4 linked regions of the Callithrix jacchus genome follow. The protein of the gene in region 3 purifies or fractionates together with the protein of the main gene of each other region. This does not show direct contact. Links are inferred from orthologs where the notes say so. Each region holds a gene or a part of one and is shown on either strand. Other genes may lie near its edges.

Region 1 (4,073 bases), on a different chromosome or scaffold from region 3:
CTCAGGGTTGGGCATGGACTCAAAGGTGTCTGTGTTGTAGGTGACCAGGGCTGGGCAGTGCAGCTCACAGATGCCACTGTGGTTGAAGTGGAGGCAGGCCTGGGGGGACAGGTGGCTGGTTGTCACTGCGCTGTTTTTCCCTCGTGTACCAGGGGCAATAGGGCAGTACCAGGCAGGGTGCCCATCCCTTGCATCCTGGGGAGTAGGGCACAGTAGGCACAAGGCAGAGGCACATACCAGGCAGTCAGAGTGCTTGGGGCCCGTGCAGCCGGCAGCACACTGCTCATGGCAGCAGTCAGTGGGCAGCGGGCCCTTGCAGCGGGCACAGCCACCGGCACAGACAGTGCGTGTCACTGTTGGGTAAAGGGAAGGATGAGGGCTGAATAGCACCCTGGACACTAGACCCTCATCAGCATCACCTTCTAGGGATACTACCTACCCCAGGGAAGACATCCCAAACCTGTTATCCCACCCCTCCCTTGTCACCTGTATGACACCTGTATTTCACCCTGCCCTGGCCCTCCCCTCCCTTGACTCCAGGCCTCCCTGAGACTCACGGCTCTGACAGTCCTCAGAACTCTCTCCCCAGCAGCGGGAGCCCTTACACGCCGGAGAGCAGGGGTGGCCTGAGGACAGAACCAGAGAGAGGCAGTGAGAGAGATGTCTAACAGCAAGAGGACAGGTTAATAACGGAGAGACACACAAACAGCAGCAGAGGCCACAAGGCCAACTGCACAGCAAGGGAGGGACCCCAACAGACAGAGAGGCCCCCAAACCAGAGGCACCACCTAGAGGCAGAGGGAGACAGGACAGGGAACCCCAGAGCCAGAGATGAAGAGGCACAGAGAGATGGCAGGAGGGACGGAGAGGGAGGAAATGAGTGGTGGAGGCAGCTGGGGCAGTGGCGGGCGGGCTCTGGGTTGTAAGTCAGGAGTCTGGGGCTGGGGTCAGGCTGTCCGAGAGAAGGAGTGGCAGGGGGAGCATGGCTTACAGGCCCGAGAGCGGTTGGTGTCTATCAGTGTGAGAGCCAGCTGGTTGTTCTTGTGGAAGATGTCCTTCCACAAAACCATGTCCTGGTAGCAGAGCTGGGGGTTCCGCTGGATCCAGACCCCTCCCTTCAAGATCTCTGTGGGGTGAGCAATGATCAGGGATCCTTTCCCCTTCGGTCACCTTCTGCCTCCCTTGGGGCCCTCATGCCTTCTAAGACAGGAGCAGGCCTTTTAAACCCCCTGATTTCCCAGGGAGGAGAGAAGAGATCTTCGGCATCTTCAAGCCCCACCAATACCACCTCCACCACATGAACAAAGCAAGACCAGGGAGAAGTGAGTTGTCCATGCTAGGTCCAGATGCCGACGTGGACCACAGCTTTCTCCTCCCCTCTCACCTCTACTCTGGGCATGCTGCTTGGCGGTTAACAGACTGTGGAATCTGAAACCCAGCCCCATCACTCACTCGCTATGTAACTTTTGTCCCTTATCTCATCTGTAGAATGAGAATCACTGATTCTTTCCTGACAGGACTGCAGCTTGACTGAAATGGGACCCTGCAGGCAAAGCACATGGCACCCAGACTCTGGGGACAGTCGGCTCCAGACCACCCAATAGTGACATGGGTTGTTCACTGTACGCTTCACTCAGCCAAGTCGGGGCAAAAACCCAGCCTGCATTCTATGATTGAATGATGTGTGCTGATGCAAGCTGCACCTTCCTAGGAAGACAGGGAATCTTTTCCCAATCTTCTGAGGGCATCTTCCTGGGCTCTGCCTGCATCTGCCTAGAGGGACACCATTTCTTTTTTTTTTTTCCCCCAAGATGGAGTTTCACTCTTGTTGCCCAGGCTGGAGTGCAATGGCATGATCTCAGCTCACCGCAACCAACCTCCACCTCCTGGGTTCAAGGGATTCTCTTGCCCCAGCCTCCCAAGTAGCTGGGATTATAGGCACGCGCCACCACACTAGGCAACTTTTGTATTTCTAGTAAAGACAGGGTTTCTCCATGTTGGTCAGGCTGGTCTCAAACTCCTGACCTAAGGTGATCCACCCACCTCACCTCCCAAAGTGTTGGGATTGCAGGCGTGAGCCACCGTGCCCAGCAGAGGGGACACCATTTCTAATCCACACAAAGCCTCCCCATGGTCAGCTGTGGCTCTGGTCAGCTCTGAATAACCAAGAGAAAGTTTCAATGATGGTGAAGGCCACCTGTGAGGCTTCGAAGCTGCAGCTCCCGCAGGCCTCCTGGGGAGGCCCCTGTGACAGGGGTGGTATTGTCCAGAGGGTCTCCGTTGTCTAGCACAGCCAGGGCATAGTTGTCCTCAAAGAGCTGGGTGCCTCGTACAATCCGCAGCCTCTGCAGCGGGACCTGTCTCACTTGGTTGTGGGCGATGAGCACGTAGCCCTGCACCTCCTGTATATCCTGGTAGGGAGCAGTAGGGTGGGGCTGAAGCAGGAACACTACTACCCCCCAAGGCCTCCCTGAGGTTCCCCAGTACTTAGGGATCTTGGGCAAGGCCCCCAGCCACGGAGCAGTCCTGTTCCCTCATATATAAAATGATAAAATGGAGATAAAGGTGATGTCCCGCCTTGTCTCACCAGATTCTTACATGATCAAGAAAGATAATGGTGGGGGGCACTTTGTAAACTCTGAGCAGGTGCCCCACCCTCTCTGCATCTTAGTTTCTTCCTCAGTGAAAGCAAAGGCCTGGATGGGATGGCGTCTACAATTTGACAAACCAAGCAGGTGACCCCACTCCAGGGTCCGTGGACATGACCCAGCAGGCTGGTTTCCACACTCTCTCTCCTGCTCATAACGTTTTCACAGACATTTCTCTTTCGAGCTTCACAATGGGTACCTATTGCTCCCAATAAACAGATAGGGACACTGAGACCCAGTGAAGCGAAGCGGGTGTAGGCCACATTCATAGGGCTTGTCAGTGGCAGAACTGGGCCTGTAATCCACCTTTCTCACCGGCCCTTTCTGCTCTGGATGGGAGCGGGACAGTGGCTGGGGCAGGTGGATGGGGGACATGATCATGCTGACAAGAGAGCACAAGCTATAGCAGAAACCCAGATGCATCCCATCCAGAGATGTCCTCGGCCAGCCACATTATAGAGAGTCAACTGATTCTGCAGTAAAACGAATGGGGGTTGGACGCTGGAAAGGACTTCCTGGTTGAGAAACAACAAGAGAGGAAATAAAGGGCAGGGCACCGTCTTCTGCCACCCACCTGTAAACAGAGGGCTCAGCCCAGCTGGAGGCAGGGCCTGGCTGGGTTGCCCATGGGCCTCACCTGCAGGAAGGAGAGGCTGGCATTGGCGGGCAGGTAGGTGAGTTCCAGGTTACCCTGCACCACCTGGCAGCCCTGGTAGAGGTGGCGGAGCATGTCCAGGTGGGTCTCAGGACTGGCAGGGAGCCGCAGCTTCATGTCCGTGCCGGTGCACACTGGCAGGAGGGAGCAGATGGGTCAGAGGACACTGGCCAGGGACCTTCTCAGATCTAGCCACCCCATCCAAACTCATTCCCAGGGTCATGCCACCTCAAACAGGGAGAAGGCCTGACTGAAGGACCCTTCCACCCACATCCCTTGAACCTGCAGGGTTAACAGCAGAAGAAAGCTTGTGTGTTTGGGAAGTAGAGGGATTTCAGGGGAGAGGCTCCTTCTGACTGGGCCCACCCTGTGCATCCAGAGGCTGCCCCAGCGTGCCAGCCCTGTGGAGCTTACCCGCCAGCACAGGGTGTTGGCTGGAAAAGAAAGACTCCCTTTGTCCCAAAGGCACAACTCAGAGCCAGGGGTAAAAATCCCCCAAGAGAGGCGATGATGAATCATGAATCTTCTGGATACCCCCTGCCCCTCTCCCAAGCAAACAAACTTGGGGCATTCTCCCTATGCCATTCCAGTACACCCACGTGCCAACCTCTTGGCAAGGGGTACACACCCCCCTAATGCCACCCAGAGAGTGGGGAAGGAGGGTCAGCTGGAGTTGTAGCTGGGGCATGGGGCAACCAGGGCCCTGGTCATTGCAGAGACCTCTGGGAGTCCCCTATGAAGAGAAAAGGAGCATCAGACTCCAGCTGTGG
Region 2 (4,852 bases), on a different chromosome or scaffold from region 3:
CCTCCTTGGCCTCCCCAAGTGCTGGCTTTACAGACTTTGAGCCACCACGATCTCAGCTCAACGCAACCTCCGCCTCCTGGGCTCAGGCAATTCTCCTGCCTCAGCCTCCTGAGTAGCTGGGATTACAGGCACGTGTCACCATGCCCAGCTAATTTTTTGTATTTTTAGTAGAGACGGGGGTTTCACCATGTTGACCAGGGTGGTCTCGATCTCTTGACCTCGTGATCCACCCGCCTCGGCCTCCCAAAGTGCTGGGATTACACGCTTGAGCCACCGCGCCCGGCCTCTTTTTCTTTTTTTTTTAACCAAAAACACTTGCCAGATTATTCCCCCCCTTCCAACTTTGTTTTCCCTTTTAAAGAATTTGTTCCTTCCTCCCTTTTCTGACTATCTTTAGCTAGGAAGCAACCCTCCCCGCCCTCTTTCCTGGATCCCCTTCATTCCCTCCTTCCACAGTCCACTCCCGGGTTCCCAGGTCCAGGGCTTATTTGCCTAGACTTTGGAAAACCCCCAGCTCTCCTTCCTCCTTTCTGCAGCGTGGGGGCAGGGTGCTGGTGTCAGTCACGTCTCTCTAGCTTCAGAAGAAGGCACTAGACTCAGTCGAGGTCGAGGTGGGGGGGGGGGTCCTGCCCATCTCCCTAGCACCTTATCGTCCCTACCGTCTGTCTTTTTTCCCTCCCCAAACGGAACCCCCGGCCCTCTCGCCTATAGACGTTTAATTGCAAAAGCCAGGCCGTTTGTGGGAGACCACAAGACATCGACCCCCTTCATTTACCGGTTGAGAAGAGAGTAAAGGGGCTGCTGCAACCTGGGTAATAACCCTGTCCCCACCCCAGGAGTCACATCCTTAAGCCTTCCTTCCCTCTTGTCCCAGGACAGCTTTCAAAACGTTAAAAGCCTTTCGGCTGGGTAGCATCTGACCAGGGAGGGTCGTCCCCTCTGGCTGCTCAGGGGCGTCTGTCACTTCAGAAAGGTTAAGTGACTTGCCCCAGGTCGCACAGCAGCAGTCCGATAGGCTGCCAGGGCACTAGGGGCAGAAGGAGGAGAGAGTTGGCATTTTTCCCATTGGCCCGCGTGGCTGTAGCACTGGGGTGCAGCGAAGCCCCAGGGCCACAACCCCTGAGCTCTGTTCAATCCCGGGCGGAGATGGGGGAGCGGCTGTAGGGTACTGGTTCCCGAATGGCTAGAAAAGCCTTGCCCAGCCCCTCCAGGTAGAGGGAATGAGAGGGAGAGAAGTTGGGACATGGTTCCGGTCCCGCGTGGAAACACCTGCGCTCGCGCCAGTGCTTTAAACGCCCAGATGAGGAAAGACGCACGCGGGCGAGGGCGGGGTTGGGTTTAGATCTGGTCACATGACCTGGCCTGAGGGGCTCGAGGCCCCCGCCCCACCAGAGGGCGTCCCCCACAACGCGTGGTCGACTCTCATTGGTCAGCGGTGAGGCCAATAGAAATCGGCCATCTGGGAACCCAGCGTTCCGAGGCGCAGCCTAACATGGTGAACCGATAAAGATCCAATGGAAAAAGACAATCGTGAGCGCAGACCAATGATAAAGTGTCAAGGGCGGGCCCAAGGGCTTGGTCAGGTTGGTTTGAGAGGCGGATGGGTATAAAGGTGCAAGGCGGGCGGCGGCGGCCGTCCGTACTGCAGAGCCGCTGCCCCAAAGTCGTTTTAAAGGGCCAGCGCGCCGCCGCCCCCTCGGCCCGCCATGCTGCTATCCGTGCCGCTGCTGCTCGGCCTCCTCGGCCTGGCTGCCGCCGAGCCCGCCATCTATTTCAAGGAGCAGTTTCTGGACGGAGGTAACGCCTGATTTCGCCTCGAGGCTGCCCCGCCGACGCGGCTGGCCCCCATCCCGGATCTGCGTTGTTGCCCGTAATTACTGCTTTGGGGACCAACATGGTGGCCTCCAGGGCCTAGAGCCGAGGGCTATTCCTCTTTTGCGTCCCTGGGGAGCGCAGAGGCGCAGCGGCCTCCCGCAGCGGGAGTTAGGGTTCGCCTGAGGATCTCTTAAGGCACCTGAGGTGTCAAACTAGAGGTTGGGGTGGGGAGAGTCGGGGATCTCCTTCCCTGTCCCCAGCAGTTTTTGATTCTCGGCAGATGTTTGGTGGTGGGGAATCGGCACAACCGCGTTGACCTCCCCCCTCTAACCTCCCACTTAGATGGGTGGACTTCCCGCTGGATCGAATCCAAACACAAGTCAGATTTTGGCAAATTTGCCCTCAGTTCCGGCAAGTTCTACGGTGACCAGGAGAAAGATAAAGGTAAGAGCCTAGGAGTGGGTGCTCTGATCCGGGAGGACTTCCTGGCAGAAGTCCTTGTCTGCACACAGCTGGGACAGTCCCCTAGGAGGAGAGCAGGTGGAGGAAAGGGGAGTCGTTTGTATTCTCTAGGTCTTGGGTCCTCGGGGGTCAGGGCCCAACGGTGACCTCACTGCTATTCCGTTTCAGGTTTGCAGACAAGCCAGGATGCACGCTTTTATGCTCTATCGGCCAGTTTTGAGCCCTTTAGCAACAAAGGGCAGACACTAGTGGTGCAGTTCACGGTGAAACATGAGCAGAACATCGACTGTGGGGGCGGCTATGTGAAGCTGTTTCCTAGTAGTTTGGACCAGACGGACATGCACGGAGACTCAGAATACAACATCATGTTCGGTGAGGGGCTGGTTCCTGGTGCTGATCTCTGTCCCATTAGTTGGAGGGAGACTCAGACCCCATTGAGTTCCTTACATCCCAGAAAAGTGATTTTTGAGAGGATGGAAAGCATTTACTAATCATGATTTTCTTTGGAAGGAGAGCTAAAAGAATAGGTCACAGTTAGCAACAATTTATTGCCTTATCCCAGATCTAGGCTGTTAATTTAATTTGTATGATTGTATATAGTTACTTCCCAATCTTACAAATGAGGATGTTGAGTTCTAGAACGCTCATTTTTTTTCTTTAAACTTGAGGCTCCAGCCACAGTTCATTCAGGACAGCATCAAGGTCTGAGTCCCTCTTTTTAGCCTTGACAGACCAAGTTTAAGAACCAGGTTTTCCTTTTGTAAAGAGGGGAGAGGGCCTTGAAATGGTGGGTAGTCTCTGACTCTTAACTGGATGTGTTTCCCACCTAGGTCCTGACATCTGTGGCCCTGGCACCAAGAAGGTTCATGTCATCTTCAACTACAAGGGCAAGAACGTGCTGATCAACAAGGACATCCGTTGCAAGGTGTGCCTGGGGGTGGTGGTGGCAAATGATGGCTGTCATGGGAAGTTCAGAGGTCGGTCTGATTGCGGGGGGCCCCACTCACCTCCTTCCTTCTTCAGGATGATGAGTTTACACACCTGTACACACTGATTGTGCGACCGGACAATACCTACGAGGTGAAGATCGACAACAGCCAGGTGGAGTCGGGGTCCTTGGAGGACGATTGGGACTTTCTGCCACCCAAGAAGATAAAGGATCCTGCTGCTTCAAAACCGGAAGACTGGGATGAGCGGGCCAAGATCGATGATCCCACAGACTCCAAGCCTGAGGTAGGTGTTTGGGGAGGGGCTCTGCTTTCCACACTGGAGCGTGTGTAGGACAGCTGGGCCAACTCTGACCTCTTCTACACCCCAGGACTGGGACAAGCCTGAGCATATTCCTGACCCTGATGCCAAGAAGCCTGAGGACTGGGATGAAGAGATGGATGGAGAGTGGGAACCCCCAGTGATTCAGAACCCTGAGTACAAGGTGAGTTTGGGGTTCTGAGCAGGGCTGGAGCTCACAGTGGGGAGTCCACCAACCTCACTCACCCTCTGGTTCTTTTCTCCCTTATGCCTTCTGCAGGGTGAGTGGAAGCCCCGACAGATCGACAACCCAGATTACAAGGGCACTTGGATCCACCCAGAAATTGACAATCCCGAGTATTCCCCTGATCCCAATATCTATGCCTATGATAACTTTGGTGTGCTGGGCCTGGACCTCTGGCAGGTGAGACTTGGAGGGAAAAGGAGGATCCCTGGGGTACCTCGAGAGCTTACCATCACCCAGGAGGAAAGGGACAGGGTAGGATCACACCCCAGGAAGGTCTGACTCAAGATGGTACTTCTCTAAACAGTACTTCCTGGTCTGTCCTTATGGAGTCCTCACAGCAGCCCCTTTGAGGTTGTACTTTTTGTGCACCAAGTACTTCCCCTAGTACTTTTATGCAAATCAACTTCTTTAAATACCCCTAAAAAGCTAGAAGGTGGTCAGGTAACACAGAAAGTTTGGGGCTGGGCGCAGTGGCTCACCCTTGTAATCACAGTACTTTAGGAGGCTGAGGAAGGAGGATTGCTTAAGGCTAGGAGTTTGACAACTCAACCTTGCTTGGCAACATAGTGAGGCAACCTCATCTCTACACAAATTTTAAAATTAGCCAGATGTGATGCATACCTGTTATCCCAACTATCTAGGAAGAAAGAGGATCACTTGAGCCTGAGGCATTGAGGCTCCAGTGAGCCATGATTGTGTCACTGCACTCCAGCCTGGGTGATGGAGTGAGAACCTGTTTCAAAAAAAAAGCTGGCACTGAATTTTTTGGTCACTAAAATACCTTCTGTGCCCAGGACAGTGCCTGGCATGTAGTACATACCTGAAAGAGAGAGAAACAGAAACTGGTACAGAGAAGTGAAGTCAGTGACCCAAGGTCATAGGGGCAGGAAACTGCAAAGCCGGGGTTTGAACCAGGCAGTCTGGCATCCAGCACCTGAGTCTCTTCATCTTTGTTTTTGAGTCTTGCTCTGTCACTCAGGCTGGAGCCCAGTGGTATAATCTTGGCTCACTCTGCCTCCCAGGTTCAAGCAATTCTCATGCCTCAGCCTCTTGAGTAGTTGGAATTACAGGCATGCGACA
Region 3 (4,073 bases):
GTTTCCCTTTTTTTGTATGGCTTCTAAAAAATTTAAAATCATATGTGTGGCTCACATTAATTGTATTTCTTTTTTTAAAAAGATGGGGTTTCACCATGTCGGCCAGGATGGTCTCGATCTCTTGACCTCGTGATCTGCCCGCCTTGGCCTCCCAAAGTGCTGGGATTACAGGCTTGAGCCACCGCGCTCGGCCACATTAATTGTATTTCTGATACAGCTGCCTTAATATAAAATTAGTTGATAGACACTAAAACTTTAGAGTTTATGGAAATAAAAGTGAAGGAAGAACCAACAGTGTTTTAAGAGTTAAAATTTAAAGGATATGGCATAGAGAAAACAACAAATACAGACACAAAATATGAAGTTTTATTTAGCTATGGGTAAGTCCACTAGCACATTCTATTACTCATACCAAATGCTGCTGGGGAAACACTGACTTGAAACAACCTTAATGCTAGTTTTGCATTTTTAATAGTTTCAAGAAGGGATCAGTAAAAGAAAAAAAAAATAGGTAGGGAAACAGGCGAAGCATCTCACAGTAAGTGTTTGATGTCATAAGCAAGCTCTTTAAAGCCACTTAACATGATTTCATGTTTTACGGGTTTTGTGGTGGAAATCACACATCTACCTATGTAGGTGGTTCTTAATCTTTTTTTGTCACACAAAATCCTTGGCAAGCTGGTGAAGCCTACAGATGCCTTCTCAAAATAATTTTTTTTTAAATCACATATTACAAAATACACAGGAATAAAAAGGAAACCAATTCTGTTTAAACAGCCACAAAACTGTTTCAAACATTCTTGATTTTGTAATGTTTCACTATTATATTAACTATGAGCTAGGACTAAATTTAATAACTGCTGCAATTTTGAAGTAGTGATGAGCGTAATAATTCAATTTAAGTAAAAATGGTGTGTTCTGGAAACAAATTTACTCTTAAATTCTCTGTTGAGATGCCAATCTCAAAGCTTCATATAAAATTTAAATGTGATTTTAATTATGATTAGGTCAATATGCCAGAAATAGATATATTATAGTTGGCCTAAAGGTCTTTTTTTTGAATTTTCTCTCTGGGAAAAAATAGGAATGAACCATCTCATATTCATGGTCACATACCATATGCAATTACAACTAACAGGATGATACTTTGTCTACTCATTAATAACCAGAAGCTAGGGAATTATAAATATTTACCTTTGAAAATGATTTGTAGAAAGCTTTGTATTCATCTTCTTCTACTTCTTTTGATGGTCTCTGCCATATTGGTTTGATATCATTCATAAGTTCCCAGTCCCACACAGTTTTTTCAACCTGAAGTTATTATGGTATTTGATTAGTCTCTCTTAGCACTTATCAAGGTTTTCCTAGCAGTAACCATGGCTTCAGATTTCAAAAGAATATATACGGAACCAGAGGCCTGGTGTGGTGGCTCACACCTGCAATTCTAGCACTTTGGGAGGTCAGGGGGCTGCTTGGGCCCAGGAGTTCAAGACCAGTCCAGGAAACATAGCAAAACCTCCATCTCTACAAAAAAATTTTTAAAAATGTTGGTGTGTGCCTGTAGTCCTAGCTACTTGGGAGGCTGAGGCAAGAGGACTGCTTAAACCTAGGAGTTCAAGGTTGAAGGGAGCTATAATTGTGCCACTGCACTCCAGACTTTGTGGCAGAGACTCTGTCTCCAGATTAAAGAAAAAAAAGGCACCAAAAGATACCTGTTATCTAGTAAGGTTTCTGCCACCTCCATGAAAAGCAAAGTATTTTTCTCAATATTTAATTCAAAAAGACAATTGTTAACTGATGAAAAACCAAGTATGTTTTGTTATTTTTAATTAGCAAAAGTACTTCTTGAAAATAGTTGTCTTGAGATTAGAAGGAAATACATATTACATATTCCTATTTCGTGACTTAAAAAAATCCAACATTTTAGAAAAATATTTCTCAACCACCACAACCAATACTTCTTACTCTGCTACCTAAGCAAACCAGAGAACTATTTTTATAGTTAATCCCTACATCATAAAAGGACAAAAGAGGACTCAGAAAGCTTTTTAATATTTAAAAATTCCAAACATATAAGCCACCAATCCTAGGCAATATATAAAAGTCAGAAAACTCTTCATAAAAACGACCTGGGTTTGACATTTAAAACTTTCTACCAGACAATGTACTCAACATACAAACAAAGGCCTTATTTTAAAAGCTGGCTCCATGGACTTAGCACCTGGAGCAAGTAGAACCTTAAGAACTGAAGCTGACCTCAAAACAGCCAGCGCATACTTGGGTTTTCCTGGTTCTGCCCTACATGTTAAATAGTATCTTACGCAGAGAGATGAAGCAGACTTACCTTTTTAGTCTTTGGTTTCTTTTCTTCTTCTTCTTCCTCTACTGCAGCTTCATCATCAGATTCTTCTTTCTCTTCTTTTGCTGCCTCTTCTTCCTCCATGGGCTCCTCAACAGTTTCAGTCTGTTGAAATAAAAGGAGAATTATGGTTAAACTCATTTTTTTAACAATCCTGTCTACAGAATATGACATAACATTACAAAAAATAGGTCTTCGTAAGAAAACCCTGAGAGTATGTATCCTCAACTAATATACCACACTTTGCCTTCATTCTTTTTTTTTTTTTTTTTCCTGAGACAGAGTCTTGCTTTGTTGCCCAGGCTGGAATGCAGTGGGGCAATCTCAGCTCACTGCAACCTCTATCTCCCGGGTTTAAGTGTTCTCCTGCCTCAGCCTCCCAAGTAGCTGGGACTATAGGCATGTGCCACCACACCCAGCTAATTTTTTTGTAGTTTTAGTAGAGGTTTTGCCATGTTGGCCAGGCTGGTCTCAAACTCCTGACACCTCAGGTGATCCATGTGCCTTGGCCTTTCAAAGTGCTGAGATTACAGGCGTGAGCCACCGTGCCCAGCCTGCTTTCATTCTTTTAGTGTTAAATATTTAAATACGTGCCAAGGTAATACATATAAGTTTTTAATCAATATAGATTTACCTTGCTGCTCCATACATAAATAGGAAAGTTTATGAACTGTGAATATTTTTTCACGAGATTTTTAATTGTATCCAATTCAAGGTAATCAGATGCTTCTTCTTTTAAGACAAGGCTGAAAGAAAAATTCGAAGTTTAGTGACATCTAACATTTAGGATATGAGATTATAAATTCACCTAAATACCATGGTAATAGCCAGCAGTTCTGTGTAATCGAAGATGTCCTAATTATTCATGTTAACTCTCCATCACCAATAAGGGTTTGTGAGCTAAAATGTTAACACATATAGAGATTCAGTAAAGAGAAGAATCTCCTCTACATTACCCCAAGTGGAGAATAACCATAGAAAATGAAAATATTCCCAACCTTCTGAATAGATTGGTTTTTTCCATTTGTCAAGGTGATAAAGCGCTGAAAAATTCTGGAAAAAAATGGAATCATGCACTCTCATAGCTTTTACTGTTATTCTAGAAACCTAACGATTATTGTAGATAACTACTCCTAATTAATGAAAACATTTTCCTTAAAAAAGCTAGAAAATTAATCTGGATTATTTATATCTCCACTATCCAAAATGGTAGCCACTGGGCACATATGACTTATTTAAATAAAATATACAGTTCAGTTCCAGTCACATTGCTACATTCCAAGTACTCAACAGTCACATGTGGCTGGTGGTCGCCAAACTAGGAAGTGCACATATAGAACATTTCCACTATTACATAAATTTCTACCGGGCAGTGTAGGGATTACAAGCATGAGCCACTGTGCTCAGCCTAAAACCTACTCTTGAGCACAATAGGTAGCCCAAAGCTTGATATTTGTGTATCCAATTAAGTATGGGGAAATGGCCTATCTGTGGTTCCCTCCCTGTCTCAAAAGGCTCAGTAGTTTAGTGGTACCTGGTCAATAAGTAGCCATGATATGATGACAAAGCCTCGTGAGTGACTAGGCTGCTGGTCTCAGGGCACATGTTCTAGTGATTTGGGGATTAAGAGTTCAGTTTTGGATCCAAGTAGAAGCTGCTAGGTAGATTATCTTATGTAGAAGCATTTAAAAGGCACTTAAACACATCAACACGG
Region 4 (3,556 bases), about 45 Mb from region 3:
CACACCTGTAATCCCAGCACTTTGGGAGGCTGAGGCGGGTGGATCATGAGGTCAAGATTTCAAGCTTGGCCAATATGGTGAAACCTCATCTCTACTAAAAATACAAAAATTAGCCGGGCATGGTGGCAGGCACCTGTAATCCCAGCTACTCGGGAGGCTGAGACAGCAAATTGCTTGAACCTGGGAGGCAGAGGTTGCAGTGAACCAAGATCATACCGCTGCACTCCAGCCTGGGCAAACAAAAGGAGACTCTGTCTCAACCAAGAAAAAGAAAGATCAGAGTCTTCCACACTGGGAGAAGGCACATGGGAGGACCCATAGCTGCACTTAGTAGTGAGGAAGAGAGGGAGACACCAGGCCCATGTACCCTTGGCATACTAAGAAACTGGCATATGTGGGCAGCAGCCCTCTCTCTGGGTATGGCCAAAGGTGGAGGTGTTTTTGGGAAATGTTGAAAGGACAGGTGGGTAGCGGTTTGGATGGCAAATGGAACCTGGAGCATGCTGCAGGAGAGACTGCAGCAGAAGGAAGATCCCTGACAGGGTAACTCTGTGGTATACATTTTGGCTTTCAGAGTATAAAGGGGTAGAGGATGGGGAAAGACTTGGTGTAAAAGAAGGGAAGAAACAGAAATGGACAGATGAGAAAAGGAAGACGGCAGTACAGCAAGTGTTTCTTTGAATCCTTGCCAGGCCAGGCTTCATTTAGCTGCCCTGGTCTTATCCTGCATACTCCAGCCCCATTTATAGACCCGGGGAGTGGGGAGCAAAGAACAGAACCAGAGCATGATCTGAAAAGAGCACGAGCCTCCTCCCTGCTGGAGCCCCCACCCCAGAAAAAAGGTTGATGGATCGATGGTCCAGTTCTTTATTTAGAAACCTGATTGTTCAAGAACATGGTAGGTGCTTCACACCTTTTTCGCTGGGATTGTGCTGGAGGTGATGGGTAGCATTCTCCCACTTTCTCAGCAACAGAGGTGAAGGCTCCTCAACTCAGAAGGACAAATGGTGTGTGACAGGGTGGGCAGGGAAAAGGAGAAGGAAATCCCAAGGCAATTCAATAGAAGGGGGTAAAGCGACTCCCAACAGCACTAGGGGCAGGTGGGGGCCTGCTTGCTCAGTGCCTGCTCACTGCCCTGCCCTCCTTGCTCTCTCTACCCCACTCCACTCCAAAGATCCTACTGAATCTCCAGGTACGGAGCAGGGAATATCCTATCATTAGGGGACAATAACAGGAAAAGCCACAGAGGAGAGGAAGCGGATTGAGGGAAAGCCCAGGAGAGCAAACATCACAGGCCCGGTGAGGTCTCCAGGTGGCTGCCAGCAGGGGCAACAGCATTCACCCAGGGCCCCCACACCCACAGAGTCACCCGAGAGGTCCGCAGCTCAGCTCCACTCTGCTGTTTGGCCCTCAGGGGTACCAGGGTAGGGAGGTGGGGAGGAGGCAGGCCAGTCCAGGAAGACTCTGGATTCTGTGGAGGGTCAAGTGCAGTGTTGGTCTCAGAAGTCAAATTCATCCAGGTCCCCTGTGCCCTCCCCACCTTGAGAGCCCCACACCCGGCGGTAATTGCTCTCCAGCTCTTTCTGCCGCTGGCGTTCTTTCTGGGCTTCTTCGGCTCCCGGCACCTGGTGGGAGAGGGTAGAGGTGGGCTGGAGCTGCTGGCTGTTGAGCCCAGGGAAGTCCAGGGCCGGGTGGCTGGGGGAAGGCAGGGAGTGAGAACACTCATGTCCTGAGGGGCTCTCCCTGAGTGGCAGCGCTCGGAGCCACTGGAACCCTAGCCTCATCTTATAGATCAGGAAAAGAACAAAGCAACAGCGTGGCTGGGGCAGGCCTGTGCCTCCACTGCAGGCGGGCTGGGGACGCGAGGGCTGGAGGCCAGGCCTGGGGGTAGAAGCCTCTCACCAAGATATTGAAGAAGATCTCCTTGAGGTTTCTTGTGTCCTCATCAGTCAGCCAGCGTGCACCCTCTTCAGCCCCTTCCGCCCATGGGCGGACAATTTTGATCTCAATTTTCCCTGGAAAGGAGCAGTATGCAGTGAGAGGAGAAGATAGCTAGGAGCCTCAGGGCAGGCCCCCTGCCCCGCTGGTCCCAGCCCCTCCGCTTCCGGCAGCTCGCCCTTCCGACAGCGCTGGGTCCAGCCGCCCTCCAGGGCCCACCTGCAGCTGTGAGTCCCTCCCTCTCCAGCAGCTCCTTCACCAGCCCCTCGATTTGTTTCAGCTGTGGGTTTTCCCGTTTCATCTCGAGGACCGTCAGATCCTGATTAGGGCCTCCGAGACGGAGCTTGGTGACCCGGACCCGGACTCTGTGCTCAGGATCCTCCTCTTAGAGGGGGAGACACACAGGGAAACACAAAGCAGAGGCGTGACTCCAGGGTTGGGGTGTGGGGGTCGCCTCCCCCTAAAACATCAGTTGGCTTTGGCAGCTATTCCATCTCAACATGTATATGAGCCAGGGGTCAAAAAACTGTGTGCCTCCCCCATCCAATTCACCCAGTAGAGCTCCCTCCATCAATTGCAGTCTTCCATCTTCCCACCCTACTCAATAATTCTGCCCATCACCTATAGGAAAACAAATGTTTTCTGAAGCCAAAATTAGGCCACCTGCATCAATTAAGTTTCGTTTGAAGAAGCAGGTTGGAAAAGTGCGGTTTCTTCCTCCATATGTTGGGACTTAATGTTTATAGAGAGAATGGGATGGAAGGTTTGAAACTGAACATTCCATTTGGAATATCTGATGTCCACACCAATAGGACCCTATGAAATGGACACAAGGGGATGCAAGAAGAAGAAGTAATTTAAAGTCTATCCAGGCTATTGACTCATGTGCAGCTGGGCTCTCCTATTCATACCCTGATAGCTAGGACCTCACTCGGTGCAAAGTCCTAAATGTTGACAGGCTACATCCTTCACAGTTGTGTGGTTTTCAGCATATAGACTCACAAACATTCAGTTACTATCTACTGATCAGTCAGTGTGTGCCAGGCAGTGTGCTAGGCACTGGCTGTGCAGGAGCAAACCAGGAAACAAGCAGACATGCTCTAAAAGCTGCTTCCCAGAGGGATGAATAGGAGGTAAGCATGCCAAGGGATGACAGTGGTGCGAAGGAGGCGCAAGTGAGGACAGTGTTCCAGAAAGAGGGGAGAGAATGAACACCCTCAGAAGGCAAGGAACAGGGTCCCCTCAAAGAACAAGACCAGCTGAGGGATGAAAACAATGGACTGGGCTACTCCTTCTTGTCTGACTGCTCTCACCTGTAGGTTGGGGTGATGGGGGAGGCTTTTTGGGGACAACCCTCTTTTTCCTGTGCTTCTTCACCAGCTCTGGACTCTGCTTTTCCTCCAGTCTTTTGATGAGTTTGTTGAGAGTGGATGTCAGAGCCAGCATTGCCCGATCCCGCTCTGACTCCTTCTTCAGCCCATCTGGGTCCAGCTCCTTCTCTGTCTGGAATACCCAAGAGAAGATAAACACTCAAGGGTCTGGGGTATGGAGGTGGCCAGCAGGCCAGGCTCTGTAGGAGAGTCTGCTATTTTGTGACGCAGTTTTGTTCTTGTTGCCC

Evidence for each region.
Region 1: the proteins of HSP90B1 (region 3) and ERBB2 purify together in Homo sapiens (affinity purification with western blotting; 3 studies listed by BioGRID and IntAct, with this or other methods). This does not show direct contact. The link is inferred for Callithrix jacchus from reciprocal best matches to the Homo sapiens genes HSP90B1 and ERBB2.
Region 2: the proteins of HSP90B1 (region 3) and CALR fractionate together in Homo sapiens (co-fractionation; 4 studies listed by BioGRID, with this or other methods). This does not show direct contact. The link is inferred for Callithrix jacchus from reciprocal best matches to the Homo sapiens genes HSP90B1 and CALR.
Region 4: the proteins of HSP90B1 (region 3) and OS9 purify together in Homo sapiens (affinity purification with mass spectrometry; 6 studies listed by BioGRID and IntAct, with this or other methods). This does not show direct contact. The link is inferred for Callithrix jacchus from reciprocal best matches to the Homo sapiens genes HSP90B1 and OS9.

Annotation. Positions count from the first base shown.
Region 1 is NC_133506.1:120,167,396-120,171,468, reverse strand, and holds part of ERBB2 (receptor tyrosine-protein kinase erbB-2), read right to left. Parts: intron 3,438-4,073; coding exon 3,286-3,437; exon of another isoform or gene 3,223-3,285; intron 2,412-3,222; coding exon 2,198-2,411; intron 1,127-2,197; coding exon 992-1,126; intron 627-991; coding exon 558-626; intron 354-557; coding exon 238-353; intron 100-237; coding exon 1-99. UniProt on the Homo sapiens protein: Protein tyrosine kinase that is part of several cell surface receptor complexes, but that apparently needs a coreceptor for ligand binding. Essential component of a neuregulin-receptor complex, although neuregulins do not interact with it alone.
Region 2 is NC_133523.1:11,760,484-11,765,335, forward strand, and holds the start of CALR (calreticulin), read left to right. Parts: upstream 1-1,635; 5' UTR 1,636-1,706; coding exon 1,707-1,797; intron 1,798-2,157; coding exon 2,158-2,259; intron 2,260-2,445; coding exon 2,446-2,649; intron 2,650-3,107; coding exon 3,108-3,202; intron 3,203-3,300; coding exon 3,301-3,510; intron 3,511-3,595; coding exon 3,596-3,709; intron 3,710-3,805; coding exon 3,806-3,949; intron 3,950-4,852. UniProt on the Homo sapiens protein: Calcium-binding chaperone that promotes folding, oligomeric assembly and quality control in the endoplasmic reticulum (ER) via the calreticulin/calnexin cycle.
Region 3 is NC_133510.1:106,884,016-106,888,088, reverse strand, and holds part of HSP90B1 (endoplasmin), read right to left. Parts: intron 3,106-4,073; coding exon 2,994-3,105; intron 2,465-2,993; coding exon 2,345-2,464; intron 1,312-2,344; coding exon 1,195-1,311; intron 1-1,194.
Region 4 is NC_133510.1:61,984,342-61,987,897, forward strand, and holds the end of OS9 (protein OS-9), read right to left. Parts: intron 3,442-3,556; coding exon 3,252-3,441; intron 2,323-3,251; coding exon 2,158-2,322; intron 2,016-2,157; coding exon 1,903-2,015; intron 1,626-1,902; coding exon 1,500-1,625; 3' UTR 854-1,499; downstream 1-853. UniProt on the Homo sapiens protein: Lectin component of the HRD1 complex, which functions in endoplasmic reticulum (ER) quality control and ER-associated degradation (ERAD).